Macaca fascicularis: one gene and its partner. The protein of the gene in region 2 interacts with the protein of the main gene of each other region in a pairwise test. Links are inferred from orthologs where the notes say so. Each region holds a gene or a part of one and is shown on either strand. Other genes may lie near its edges.

The links.
Region 1: the proteins of EXOSC8 (region 2) and TFAP4 interact in binary tests that used the Homo sapiens proteins (3 or more experiments, as listed by UniProt). The two-hybrid records come from large-scale screens. The link is inferred for Macaca fascicularis from reciprocal best matches to the Homo sapiens genes EXOSC8 and TFAP4.

Annotation. Positions count from the first base shown.
Region 1 is NC_088394.1:5,059,441-5,066,897, forward strand, and holds the start of TFAP4 (transcription factor AP-4), read right to left. Parts: upstream 4,838-7,457; 5' UTR 4,579-4,837; coding exon 4,490-4,578; intron 1-4,489.
Region 2 is NC_088391.1:16,548,632-16,555,245, forward strand, and holds part of EXOSC8 (exosome complex component RRP43), read left to right. Parts: intron 1-674; coding exon 675-711; intron 712-898; coding exon 899-962; intron 963-1,344; coding exon 1,345-1,418; intron 1,419-2,937; coding exon 2,938-2,983; intron 2,984-4,326; coding exon 4,327-4,432; intron 4,433-4,521; coding exon 4,522-4,567; intron 4,568-5,364; coding exon 5,365-5,461; intron 5,462-6,614. UniProt on the Homo sapiens protein: Non-catalytic component of the RNA exosome complex which has 3'->5' exoribonuclease activity and participates in a multitude of cellular RNA processing and degradation events.

The DNA.
Region 1 (7,457 bases), on a different chromosome or scaffold from region 2:
ACCCAACGAACACTCCAAAGCCTTCAATTTTCTCGAACTCCTTCTTATGGGAGCTTTTTAAATTTTATTTTATTTTTTAAATTTTATTTTATTTTTTAAATTTTTATTTATTTATTTATTTAGAGGCAGGGTCTCACTCCCATCACCCAAGCTGGAGTGCAATGGCATGATCTTGGCTCACTGTAGCGTCAACTTCTTGAACCCAGGTCATCCTCCTTCCTCAGCCTCCCAAGCAACTGGAAGTACACACCACCACACTCAGCTAGTTTTTTGTATTTTTAGTAGAAACAGGGTTTCATCACGTTGCTGAGGCTGGTCTCAAACTCCTGGGCTCAAGTGATCCTCCCGCCTTGGCCTCCCAAAGTGCTAGGGTTACAAGAGTGAGCCACTGTGTGTGTTTTTTTAAGAGGCACGGTCTCTGTTACCCAGGCTAGAGTGCAGTGGTATGATCATAGCTCACTGTAATCTCCAATTCCCAGGCTCAAGCAATCCTCCTGCCTCAGCCTCCCGTGAGCCTCCCATGAGCCGCTCCCTGAGACTACAGGCACATGCCACCATGCCAGGCTAATTTTTTAATTTTTTGTAGAGGTGGGGTCTTGCTATGTTGCCCAGGCTGGTCTCGAACTTCTGGGCTCAAATGATTCTTTCGCCTCGGCCTTCCAAATTACTGGGATTACAGGCTTGAGCCAATGAGCAGGGTCCAGGAGCTTTAAGATACAGATGGAGCCGGGCGCAGTGGCTCATGCCTGTAATCCAAGCACTTTGGGAGCCCAAGGCGGGCAGATCACGAGGTCAGGAGATCGAGACCATCCTGGCTAACACGGTGAAACCCCGTCTCTACGAAAAATACAAAAAAAATTAGCCAGGCGTGGTGGCAAGCGCCTGTAGTCCTAGCTACTAGGGAGGCTGAGGCAGGAGAATGGCATGAATCAGGAGGCGGAGCTTGCAGTGAGCCGAGATTGCGCCACCGCACTCCAGCCTGCGCGACAGAGCGAGACTCTGAGACTCCGTCTCAAAAAGAAAAAAAAAAAAATACAGATTGAGAGTCCGGGCACAGTGGCTCATGTATGTAATCCCAGCATTTTGGGAGACTGAGGCGGGCAGATCACAAGATCAGGAGATAGAGACCATCCTGGCCAACATGGTGAAACCGCGTCTGTACTAAAAAGACAAAAATTAGCCAGGCATGGTGGAGCGGGCCTGTAGTCCCAGCTACTTAGGAGGCTGAGGCAGGAGAATCGCTTGAACCCCGGTGGCGGAAATTGCAGTGAGCTGAGATTGTGCCACTGCACTCCAGCCTGTGCGACAGAGTGAGAGTCCATCTCAAAACAAACAAACAAAAAAACACAAGATACGGATAGAGACTACCATATACCTGCCCATATACATGCCTTTAAGACTCTGAATGTTGCCGGGCGCGGTGGCTCAAGCCTGTAATCCCAGCACTTTGGGAGGCTGAGACGAGCGGATCACGAAGTCAGGAGATCTGAGACCATCCTGGCTAACACGGTGAAACTCCGTCTCTATTAAAAAATACAAAAAAAAAAAATAGCAGGGCGAGGTGGCGGACGCCTGTAGTCCCAGCTACTCAGGAGGCTGAGGCAGGAGAATGGCGTGAACCCGGGAGGCTGAGCTTGCAGTGAGCCGAGATCAGACCACTGCACTCCAGCCTGGGCGACAGAGCGAGACTCCATCTCAAAAAAAAAAAAAAGACTGTGAATGTCAGTGGCTGGGCGCAGTCGCTCATGCCTGTAATCGTAGTACTTTGGGAGGCCAAGGTGGGCAGATCACCTGAGGTCAGGGGTTCAAGACCAGCCTGGCCAACCACCATGGTGAAACCCCATCTCTACTAAAAATACAAAAATTAGCCAGGCATGGTGACACATGCCTGCAATCCCAGCTACTTGGGAGGCTGAGGCAGGAAAGTCGCTTGAACCTAGGAGGCGGAGGTTGCAGAGAGCCAAGATTGCAGCACTGAACTCCATTCTGGGTGACAGAGTGAGACTCTGTCTCAAAAAAAAAAAAAAGACTGAATGTCATTTTAACAGCTACCAGGCACTTTCCATACTCATAGCTAATTTTCTCACAGGTGCACTGTTTTCCAGAGACAGAACCATTAGGCGACAGGTCCAAAACCTGCAGCTTGTGTGCGCAGCACTGTGCCCTACACTCCCCTCTGGCAGGCCTGGGAGACAGAAAGGGAAATCCCTGCTGGTCACTGAGGGATGGAGCAAAGCCCACCAGCCTGAGATGACCCAGAAAAGCAAATGCATCTGGCCAGAAAGTCCTGCCTAAAGCACACGTTTGATCCCGGACAGGCTTCCCACCTCACCCTGCAACCCCTACTGAAGATAAACAAATCCAGGACCCCCAACTCCACGCCTAATGCACAGCTGACAACTGTCTTGCAATGGACATTGCTGTGCCCAACCCTGGGCGAAGGCTCTACACCTTCAAGCCCTTGGCCTACCAAGATCCAGCTACTCTAGAGGACTGCTGGTATCCTCCAAAGGGAAGCTTGGGGCAGGGATAAATTGAAGCCAGAATCTTAGGGGGCCCTGAGAGGACTCACCCAAGGCCCAGGCATGGCAGCCAGAGGGCCCCCCAACCCTGCCCAGGATCAGGCCCAGAATGTCCTCTCCAGCAGGCACAGCAGCTCAACTGCACCACAGCAGGCTGCCCAGCCCAGCCCTGCAGCAGCCTGCAACCCCAGGACAAGGGTTCAAGTTCCAGCTCTACCACTTGCTGTAGTGGTCCCTTCTCCAGTCTCTGTGTCCTCTTTACACAGAATCAAAAGACACTTCCGACTCATAGAAAGATTATGACAATTCAATGAGAAAATTCTAGCAAAGTGAGCCCCCAGAACCTAAAAACAGCTCAACAATTTTTTTTTTTTTACTTATTATTACTGGGTCCTCCAGGTGGGCCTCGTGCAAGGGCCAGCCGGGCATCCCTGCCAGCTGCCAAACCCATCATCTGGCCCAAGTCTAGGTATTGACTGGGAACTTCAGAGTAGCCTTAAGGTGGGGACCCCTGGGGCAGCGGGTTGGGCAGGAGTTGTCTACACGTGTGCAGCAACCTTCCCTCCAGGCCGGATTCCGAGGCGCTAGTGACCACCAGCCTGTGCCACACCGGCGGGCTCCTCCTCCCTCAATCCCCGCCCAGACTGCCTCGGGCGGCAGAGCACGTGGCTCCAGCCCTGGGGAGCCATTTCGCTCCTGGAGCAGCGCGGCAGGAAAGGGGCCGCAGGTCCCAAACTTGCGCACTCCGTAGAACGCCCACCTCCCCCATACCCCGCCCGGGGGGTCGTTCAAAATGCAGATGTCCGGGCGCCAGCGATCAGAGTTCCAGGCATGTGCATTTTAAGAAGTGTGCGGGGTGGTTTAGCTGTGTGTGGTCCTTGAATCCATCACCCTTTGGGTTTCGAGCAACCTAGGACCAAAGCTTGCAAAGTGGCTTCTGGGGAGGCCTGCGGATCTCGGGCCACCCACCCCGCCTGGGGACCCGACGCTTTCGATTTACGGCAGGGGGAGGGGCGTTGGATGGGAAAGTTTGCAGAGGAAACCCACGTGCGGCGGGAAGCTGCCCTGCGAGGCTAGAGGCAGCCTCAGGTGTCCCCTCCCCAAAAGGCCTGCCCACCTGGCCTGCCTTGCCCACCGTGCCCATGGGTCCGAGCTTTGTGCAGGGAAAGCGTGGCCCAGGAGCGCCTACAAATCCCACAATGCTGCACCAGCAGGATGCGGAGAACTACAGCTCCCGCGAGGCCGCGCGCAGAGGTCCGCCTACTCCAAGAGGGCTGCAGAGTCACGTCCAGGCCTCGCTAGTAAACAGCGCCCGGGAGCGGGCGGGCGAGCGAGCGGCAGCCAACGTGCCCCGGGCCGCGGCGCCCCTACCGGCCGCGCGGGCCCCTCGGGGCCCGCCCACCCCCCACACCCACACGCGAGCACGCCCCCAACCCCGCTGCAGCCCCACTCTGCAAACACGCACAGTGCCCGGCTCCCCGCCCCCACCCCGCGCCGGGAGCCGCGGCATGGCTGCATTGTAGCCGCCCTAGCTACACCCCCACGCGCGCCCCGGCCCCCGAGACCCCCTTGGATGGGGACGACCTAAGATCGCGAGGAAGGAAGGAGAGGAAGGAAGCCGCCGCGGGAGGGGGAAAGAGGAAGCGCGGGGGGGAAGGCCACCAGCACCAAGCATGGCCGGGACTGCTGCAGAACCACGTGGGTCTGTTTGCAATTTACAAACGTTGCGACTCGCCCGCCTGCAGCGGACAAAAGTGGCCGGGGCCGCTTGGGGCCCCCATGCTCCAAGGGAGGAGGGTCCCGGGGCGGCGCGAACCCGGCGCGTGGGGCTGCAGCCGTCCCGGCAGCTAAGAAAGGCTAGCGGGGTCGGCGGCGCGGGCCATGCGTGCGCACACGCGCGCCCGCCCGGGCGGGCTAGCCGGGGGCTGCAATGGTAGGAAGGGGGTGGGGGAAGGAGGAGTACACACCTACAGAGCCCTCCTATCACTTCTTTCTCTGTTTTCCTGAAATGTTGCAAAGAGGGCACCTTCTGAGTGGGCACCATGAAATACTCCATAGCGATCGGCCCCCCTCCTCTGCACGAGCCAGGTCCCGCGATCAGCCGGAGAATGCAAGATGGAAATCCGAATCAAAGGGCAGCGCCGGACGGAGGTGCAGAATCGGCCGGTCCCAGATGCTGGCGGCGGCGGCGGCGGCGGCGGCGGCTGCGAGGGGAGGGAGGCGGGCGGGAGGGGCGGGAGGGAGGTCTCTCCGGCCTGCCTCCCCGGGCGTGTGTATGTGTGTGTGTGTGTGTGTTTGCAGCTGATCAGATGTCTGTTTCAAGGCGGGAAACAGCTGGTGAAAACTCAGCACTCCCCCGGCCTCCTTCCGCGGAGTAAGGAATTGCATGTAAACAAAGGACTATTTGCAGCGCCCCCCAGGCGGCGCGAGGCCGGGGCGAGAGGGGCGCGGGCCCCCGGGGACCGGCTGCAGCCGGGGTCTGCAGGCCTCTCGCTGGGCACAGGGGGCCGGGGGCCGCGGGCGGGCTTGGGGGGCGCGGCGTGAATGGAGCGAGCTGCGGCCGAGCTACATGCGCCACTATGGGTGATGAGGTCCATCAGCTGACAGGTTGGCAAGCGTTGAAAAAAAAAAAAAAAAGGCCAGCCACCGCGCGGGGAGGCCAGCCTGTGCAGCCCGGGGTCCAGCGGCGACTGCCCAGTGCAGGGTCCGCGCGCTCGGCCGGCCCGCGGGGAGGAGGGGGCGCGGCTGGGTCGGGCGTGCTGCGGCAGCAAGGAAGGCGGCCTGGGGTTCGCGCTTGGGGCTTCTGCTTTTTCACCATTGCAACTGCACCGAGCGGAGCCTCTCCGGTGTGCTCCCTTCGAGCCAAGCCCAGGGCCCCCTGGAAACTTGCGTCACAGCCACCGCTTCCCACATGTAACTTGGGGCTGACTTCCGAGGCCGGCCAGCCTCCTCTCTCCCTCCCTGCTGAGCTGCGCGCCGCTGGACGCACGGCAAGGACTCCGGATCCTGGGAATCCTGGACCTGGCGAGGGGACGGCAAAGGGCGCCTCGGATGCTGGGGCCGCCCTAGGAAACCCGGGCCCCCGGCGGAGAGGGGAAGGTGGAGGCGGGCCCGAACGGCAGCGGCCCCCGGGCCCAGGCTGCCGGCGCTGCCGGGAGGTCTGCTGGTTGCTGCCGGGTGTCCTGCTATTCCCCCCAGACCCCCACTGTTCCCTCCGCGGGCTGAAGGCTGCAGCTTCTCATTCATAACAAAGCCCGAGTGGGACTTGCACCTCCGCCAGGGTGCGCTCCCTACGAGGGGGTGACGACTTAGGGCAGGGACGGGGACCCTGGCGGCGAGCTTCCGTCCTCCGCTCGCACGCCCCACCTTCCGGCCCCAGGCCCTCCCTTGGCTCCTGGAGGGTTGGCTTCTGGCTCAGGAAGCCCACGCCTGCCTTGGAATGTCCTGGATCCTGCCCACAGCCTTCCAGGTTCCGCCTAAATCGCGCCTCCTAATTTGACTTATTCCTACTAGTAACAATAGTTACTGTTATTATTGGGAAATATTGTTATTAGATGTTGCCAGCACCCGGTGGATGCAGAACAGTTTTGCATACATGCTCTCCAATCCTTGAAGCAACCTGTTAGGCAGTTTCTCTAAGGAGAGATCCCAGACCACTTCACAAAAAAAGTCTCTGGAAGGCTTACTATATTTTTATTTAAAACAAACAAACAAACAAACTTTCGGCCGGGTGCGGTGGCTCACCCCTGTAATCTCAGCACTTTGGGAGGCTGAGGCAGGTGGATCACCTGAGGTCGGGAGTTCAAGACCAGCCTGACCAACACGGAGAAACCCTGTCTCTACTAAAAATACAAAATTAGCCGGGGGCGTGGTGGCGCATGCCTGTAATCCCAGCTACTTGGGAGGCTGAAGCAGGAGAATCGCTTGAACCAGGAGGTGGAGGCTGCAGTGAGCCAAGATCGTGCCATTGCACACCAGCCTGGGCAACAAGAGCGAAACTCCATCTCAAAAAAAAAAAACAACAACAACAAAAAACTTTTTACTGTTTTTCATGAATAGAGATGGGAGTCTCACTATGTTGCCCAGCCTGGTCTTGAACTCCTGGGACTCAAGGAATCCTACCTCTACCTCCCAAATTGCTGGGATTACAAGCATGAACCATGGATGGCCCTGGCAGGAAGCCTATTTTTAACTGCCCCTAGTGAGCAAGCTATTTTTTTTTTTTTTTCAGATGGAGTCTTCCTCTGTTACCCAGGCTGGAGTGCAGTGGCACGATCTGAGCTCACTGCAACCTCCACCTCCTGGGTTCAAACGATTCTTCTGCCTCAGCCTCCCGAGTAGCTGTGGCTACAGGCACACACCACCAAGCCCGGCTAATTTTTGTATTTTTAGTACAGACGGGATTTTGCCATGTTAGCCAGGCTGGTCTTGAACTCCTGACCTCAGGCGATCTGCCTGCCCCAGTCCCCAAAGTGCTGGGATTGCAGGCATGAGCCACCTCACCCAGCAGTGAGCAAGCTATTCTGATGCATTACTGTCTCTTTATCCTCTCATTTTGAAGATGGAAAGACAGAGGCTCACAGTTGCAGATAAGGATGGACTCAGGAGTGCTGACTGCAGAAAGCCCTCGTTCTTTATATCACACTCATCCTCCCACCTGTCACACCTCACCTCTGATCAGGGCCTTATTTTGTACTTGCTTTTGTTCTTTTGCAGAGCAAAGCATTCTGTCATACTTGGTTATATGTGGCCTTCACATTGTTCTCTGGATGTCTCCCTGGTTCAATTTTTTTTTTTTTTTTTTTTTTTTTTTGAGACGGAGTCTCGCACTGTCGCCCAGGTTGGAGTGCAGTGGCGCGATCTCGGCTCACTGGAACCTCCGCCTCCCAGGTTCAAGTGATTCTCCTGTTCTCCTGCCTCAGCCTCCCAAGTAGC
Region 2 (6,614 bases):
AAATGGATAAATAGGATTCCAAAGGAAATCCATTATGTTGAAATAGTTATCTCTAAGTATAAACTCCGAAGACATGATATAGTAGTATATATACTTGCTTTAAAATTAACCTTCTTAAACAAGATCTAGTGGCGAGACTAGTAGTAACTGCTGGGATTTCAAAGTAACAGTGAGCCTGAACATACCTTATATAGCTATAGGGTACAAATGAAGACATCTGTGGTCTCTGTGGTTGTTAAAGTTGCAGGTACTGCTAATGTTACTATGGTTTATTGCCTACAGTCATAATTGAAGAATATGCTAAATTTCAGTTACAGTGAAAATAAAGATGTACCTTTTTTGTTTCCTGAGTTATCTAGTAAGATATTCATGATCACTAGGATCCTTGTTTCAGAGCAAGAATGACAAGATTCTTTTGACACCTAGATTAATCCGCTTTTAAAGAGCTCACGCAAAGGGCTTTTAGACGCCAATCTTCTAATCGTTAATGGCAGAGTTAAGGACAGCAATTGAATGTGATTGCTACTGCAAGGATTTTTACTTTCTAGAATTACTTTTAGTTAAAAGTTGTGGAGATGTATGCTGCATCACAACACTCAAGATCTTTGCCAATTTCTGGATTTATGTTAAGATTCATCAGTTTATCTCAGATATATTTTTAACACGTGTTTCAGAACTGTGGAACCTCTGGAGTATTACAGGAGATTTCTGGTGAGTAAAAAGTTATGTACATGTTTTGCCTTTTGATAACAATGGGCTGCTTTTAAAGATACATTTCAAGTAATTTAATCCATTTGAAGTAACATTTAATGTGTTTCCCCTGGTGTGTGTAAAACTTGGGATAGATGTGTAAAATATGTAATAGGTATAATCTATTTTTATATAAACATTTATTTAGAAAGAGAACTGCCGTCCTGATGGAAGAGAACTTGGTGAATTCAGAACCACAACTGTCAACATAGGTAAGGATGTATTTTCCATTGTCAACTGTATGATATTCCCAAGTTTTAGTCTCTGAACCACCTAAACAGTTTTTCAGCCAAATTCTCTTTTTCTAAAGAATTTGATGATTTTTTGTGTGAAGAGATTTTTATCTGTACAAAAGCCCTGTAACTGAATGAAAAATGATTAACACAAATTCAAGGACAGGTGAATAATTATTTAAACACTAATTTAAAATAGTTATGTAAAAATCAATTATTCTAACGAAATATTCATAAGCAACTGAGAGGGGTAGCAAGATAATCATACACAGCAAGCTAAAACACTTAATTTTAATGATTATGTAGATAATTTTGTAGCTGTTTTCCTTTCATGCACTTTTCACTTTGCTTATCTTTTCAGGTTCAATTAGTACCGCAGATGGTTCTGCTTTAGTGAAGTTGGGAAATACTACAGTGATCTGTGGAGTTAAAGCGGTAACTCTAAATATGTCCTATTGAGATTTGAGTTACAAAGTTAGCTTTCTTTATTAGATTGTAATATACACCTATAATTCCACTCTTGATTTGACAGTTGGGTGTCAGTTTTTAATATTTAATTTCCCAAGAGCTTTCACTATGAGTGTTAAATAATATGACCCAAGTTTAATGACTGAACATTTGTCAAATGTACCAAAATGAAACAACTTTAAAAATCTTAGCCACCCTTAATTTTTAAAACATTTGGTTATATCATTTGAGAAATTAACAGATTTTTGGTGACATCCTTTTAGCCAGTGATGACATGTAATCTGTGTAAATGTGTGGAAAATTGAAATTGTTGAAAAGAAAAATTTGAGGGAATAATGGCTACCATTTACTGAGTACCTGCTATGTTCCAGACACCTTTTTAGGCACTTTACAGAATAATCCACTTTAATCCCTACAACAATCATTTGTTATTTTTCTCCACCTCCTGTTTTATAGATGAGGTTCAGTAACCTCTCCAGGTACATAAGACTCATAAGTAAAACTTGAGACATAAATCTGACTCCAAAGCCTGTGCTTCTTTCACTACAATACACCCTGTGTTATTTAACACTTAGTTGAGATTCTTCTTTGGTAAACCTGGAGTGATATATAACAAGACGATTTGAGAACTTGCTCCTTATCGGGTTTTATGCCTGGGATTTAACAGGTTTATCTCATTTGGCCCTTATTAACAGACCCTAGGAGTAGACACTATTTTCTTCCCATTTGACAGATGAGGAGTTTAAGGTTAGAGGTTAAATAACTTGCCTAAAGTTAGCCAGTAAACGTGGCTCTGACATTTGAACAGGCTTGCTAATTGCAGAGCGTTTGCTCTTTTTTTTTTTTTTTTTTTTTTTTTGAGACGGAGTCTGGCTCTGTTGCTCAGGTTGGAGTGCAGTGGCAGGCTCTCGGCTCACTGCAACTTCTGCTTCCCGGGTTCCAAGTGATTCTCCTGCCTCAGCCTCCCAAGTAGCTGGGATTACAGGCGCCTGCCACCACGCCTGGCTAATTTTTGTGTTTTTAGTAGAGACGGGGTTTTGCCGTCTTGGCCAGGCTGGTCTCAAACTCCTGACCTCAGGTGATCCGCCCGCCTCTGCCTCCCAAAGTGCTGGGATTACAGGTGTGAGCCACCGTGCCCAGCTGAGCTTTTGCTGTTTACCACTAAAGCAGCAATTCCTAAATCTGGCTCTACCATGTGGGGAATAAATTAAGATTCTTGGCTACTAGGTGGGGGCACAAACTCAATTACTGTTTTTCAAAAGATCTCCAGGTAATCTTGATGAGCAGCACTATAGTGTAGTCCACTGTACTATAGTGCCTTCTTATCTTGTAGAGCTACTGTGAGGATCAGCACCAATGTCCTTAGAGGCCCTGGCACAATTCCCTAAGCTGATATTTGATAGAGCCTTCCATAACTGATTGCTAAGTTGTCTTCATAATTTTTCAGTAGCTTGTTTCAATAGGAAACATTTCTTTGCTACTATAGGAATTTGCAGCACCACCAACAGATGCCCCTGATAAAGGATATGTTGGTAAGTTAAATGGTTTTGTAATTTTAATACTAATACTTCTAACACATTTAATAATAATTTTAGTGAAGTCCTAGTTGAGTTGATGTAAAGAAAATTATTCCTAATATTCAGAAATATTTAACAATAAAACAAATTCCTCAAAAGTTTTCCGTATTAGTAAAAGATAGCATAATAGCAGGATATAGAATTTCATAAATTTAATCTTTATCAAACTTGCTTGCTCAATTTTTGTTTATATATTCATATGTTACTAACCAAGAAAATAGAACTTTGGCTGGGTGTGGTGACTCACACCTGTAATACCAGGATTTTGGGAGGCCAAGACTGCAGGATTGCTTCAGCCCAGGAGTTCGAGACCAGCCTGGGGAACAAAGGAGACCCCCCGTCTCTACAAAAAAATCAAGTTAGCTGGGTGTGCTGGTGCACACCTGTGTCCCAACTACTTGGGAGGCTGAAGCAGGGGGATTGCTTGAGCCTGGGAGGTCAAGGCTACAATGAAATATGATTGTATCACTGCATTCAAGCCTGAGTGACAGAGTGAAATCCTGTTTCAAAAGAAAAAAATAGAATGGAATTTTTTTTAGTCAAAGAACTGTCATTGCACATTTTTTGTTTCCATAAAGATTCTTTGCTTTATACAACTGCTATTTTTTTTCTTGTCTTGGAACCATCTGTTCTTTACGGTAGGAACCAACATTTTCTTAAATGAGAAAAACAGTTGGATGTTAGCAGAGGGTCTATCTTCAGTTACAGATTGAGGTATTTTGAAAGATACCAGGAAAACTTGTAAAGGATTTAGGAGAATTGAAGTCTAAAATAGATTTTTAAAAAATGCATATGGGGGGAAAAAAGTCAGAAAAATACAAATTTCATGCCTGGGAGTCTTACAGAGACCAAGCAGAATGTAACTATGTTACAATGTACTCTATTCAGAAAAGCCTGTCCATGGCCACAGCTGCCTTTACTGTGGATTGATACCTTTAACACTTTGATAATCCATAAATTAAAAAGTTTAGGCCGGGCATGGTGGCTCACGCCTGTAATCCCAGCACTTTGGGAGGCTGAGGCAGGTGGATCATGAGGTCAGGAAATCGAGACCATCTTAACCAATATGATAAAACCCCGTCTACCAAAATACAAAAAAATTAGCTGGGCGTGGTGGCACATGCCTGTAATCCCAGCTGCTTGGGAGGCTGAGGCAGGGAAATCTCTTGAACCTGGAAGGTAGAGGCTGCAGTGAGCGGAGATCGCGCCACTGCACTCCAGCCTGGTGACAGAGCAAGACTCCATCTCAAAAAAAAAAAAAAAAAATTTAGTTCATAGCTGCAGAGTGTTTCTTTCAGTTCCTAATGTGGATCTACCACCTCTGTGTTCATCGAGATTCCGGTCTGGACCTCCTGGAGAAGAGGCCCAAGTGGCTAGCCAGTTCATTGCAGATGTCATTGAAAAGTAAGAGCACCATGATAAAATTTTACTGTAATTCATTTTCAGATAGTTTTTGACTTTTCATTTACTTTGCTCTTTGTCATTAAATCAAGTTCACAGATAATTCAGAAAGAGGACTTGTGCATTTCTCCAGGGAAGGTAAGAGGAATAGAGAAGCTATAAGTTCTTATTAATTCTGAAGAGATTTTTTTTGTGGGGGAAAGGGAACAAGGAAATTAAAATCACCAATCAAAGTAGCCTTAAATATGGCTGCTTTACAGATTTTAGAGATTCAGTCATTTCTTACTCTATAATGCTCTAAGTGAACCATATTGTTTATAAAAAACAAGTTTGACTAACTTACCACCTGTCTGGGAGCTACCTTTTAAACTGAAGTAATTTTTTCCCCCCTTAACCTTTAGAGAAAAGTTCAATCATTTTTTATTCCTTATAGCAGATTATAACATTGATCATATTAACATATGTTTTTGGTGAATCCACAGTAGATTCCAAAGTCTATTTGAAAATGTAAAACTAGGTTGATTAGAACCTAGAGAGGCTTTCCATAAACTGATACGTTAGCACTGTAAAACCTAAACATTTCATGTATTATGGGAAAGTGCATTTTGAATTTTAGCTAGGGCTTTCAAAACCATCTTCCTTATCTGTAACCTCCCACTAAGAATGGAAATTCCTTCTACATCTGTAGCTCCATTAAGGGAAATGGACATGTTTGTCATTTGTCAGCTTGGCAATCAAAAGCCAGCTTTCACCAAACCTGTCCACTTTCTTCTGGTTTTCTACTTGAAAAAGGTAAAGCATTTTCTTAAGGTTTTTGAGCCTTGAAGGTTATCTTGCTTGTTTAACCAAGGGTTCTGTGGTTCTTAAGTCTAAGTGAATAGCATGTTCTACCCATTAGAAGGCTTTAATTTCCTTTTGTGTTAATTCTATTTTAGCTTGCCTGGGTTCTATACTGTGATCTCATTTGCCTCGACTATGATGGAAACATTTTGGATGCCTGCACATTTGCTTTGTTAGCGGCTTTAAAAAATGGTAAGCAGCCTTACAAAAACGACAATATTCCCACTAATGGGTTAGAATGTTCTGTTTTGTGAAACTTTTAATGTACATTTGCTTTCGTATGCTTCCAAATTAATGAATGTAATACTGCCATTACTTTCCAAATATAGTTGATAGTTGTATATTCTCTAACTGAATGCTCTTTAGAGTGCTGCTTTGACTGTACCCGTCTACTTAGGTTAGGACTTCAGTCCTTTCCATAATAGTGTTAATAATGGTGGGAGAGGGAGACAAGACTTGTAACTTCTGGCTAGGTCATTGGTGAAGATCTGCCAGTATCCTCATAGTTCTTTATGTGATATTGCCAAAAGAATTAGAATGGATTCTGTTCTTTTTACTGTGAGGCCATAGTAATAGTGAAGTTTCTTAGCAAGGAGTCTAGGTTGACTGATTAGTTACAGATTTCAATAACTTGTGCATATTCCCTATCATTGGTGAATGATGAATTGGTAGGAACAAATAATTGGAGGTGGAAAATAAAGTTAGCACAGCAATATTATAATAGAGTGGTTAAGTGAATTGGAGGTAGAAAATGAAGTTAGCACAATATTGTAACAGAGTGGTTAAAGCAGAGACTTAGGTTTGATTCCTGGCTCTGTCACTCTGTGCTGAAGTTTCCTTATCTATAATAAAATAGGGATAATAGTATTTAGTTTCTAAGAGTATTGATTAGGTGAATACAGTGAAAATGTGGAAATGCGTAAAACAGTACCTGGCATATACAAATTAGCTAGACATGTTATCTATTAGTAATCATTTTCATTTCAAAACTGGGTACAGTGGCACATGCCTATAGTCCCACCCAGCTACTGGGGAGGTTGAGGTGGGAAGATTGCTAGGAATTTAGTTCTAGCCTGGGCAACAAAACAAGACCCGATCTCTAAAAATTTAAAAAAAAATCATTTTGACTTCTTAAACTTAAAAAAATTATGCAATAAGCACTAGGTAGGCATGTCAGATGTTGTGAAGAGCAATGTATATCCTCTGTATTTACCTTAGTGGCTGTAAGGTGCTTTTTAAAAAGAAATGTTCTGGGCAAGTTCAATCGAGGGAAAGGTGAATTAAAAAAAAAAAAAAAAAGCTTAGAAACCATTTGTTTCTTAGAGACTTACTTTACAAATTTGCC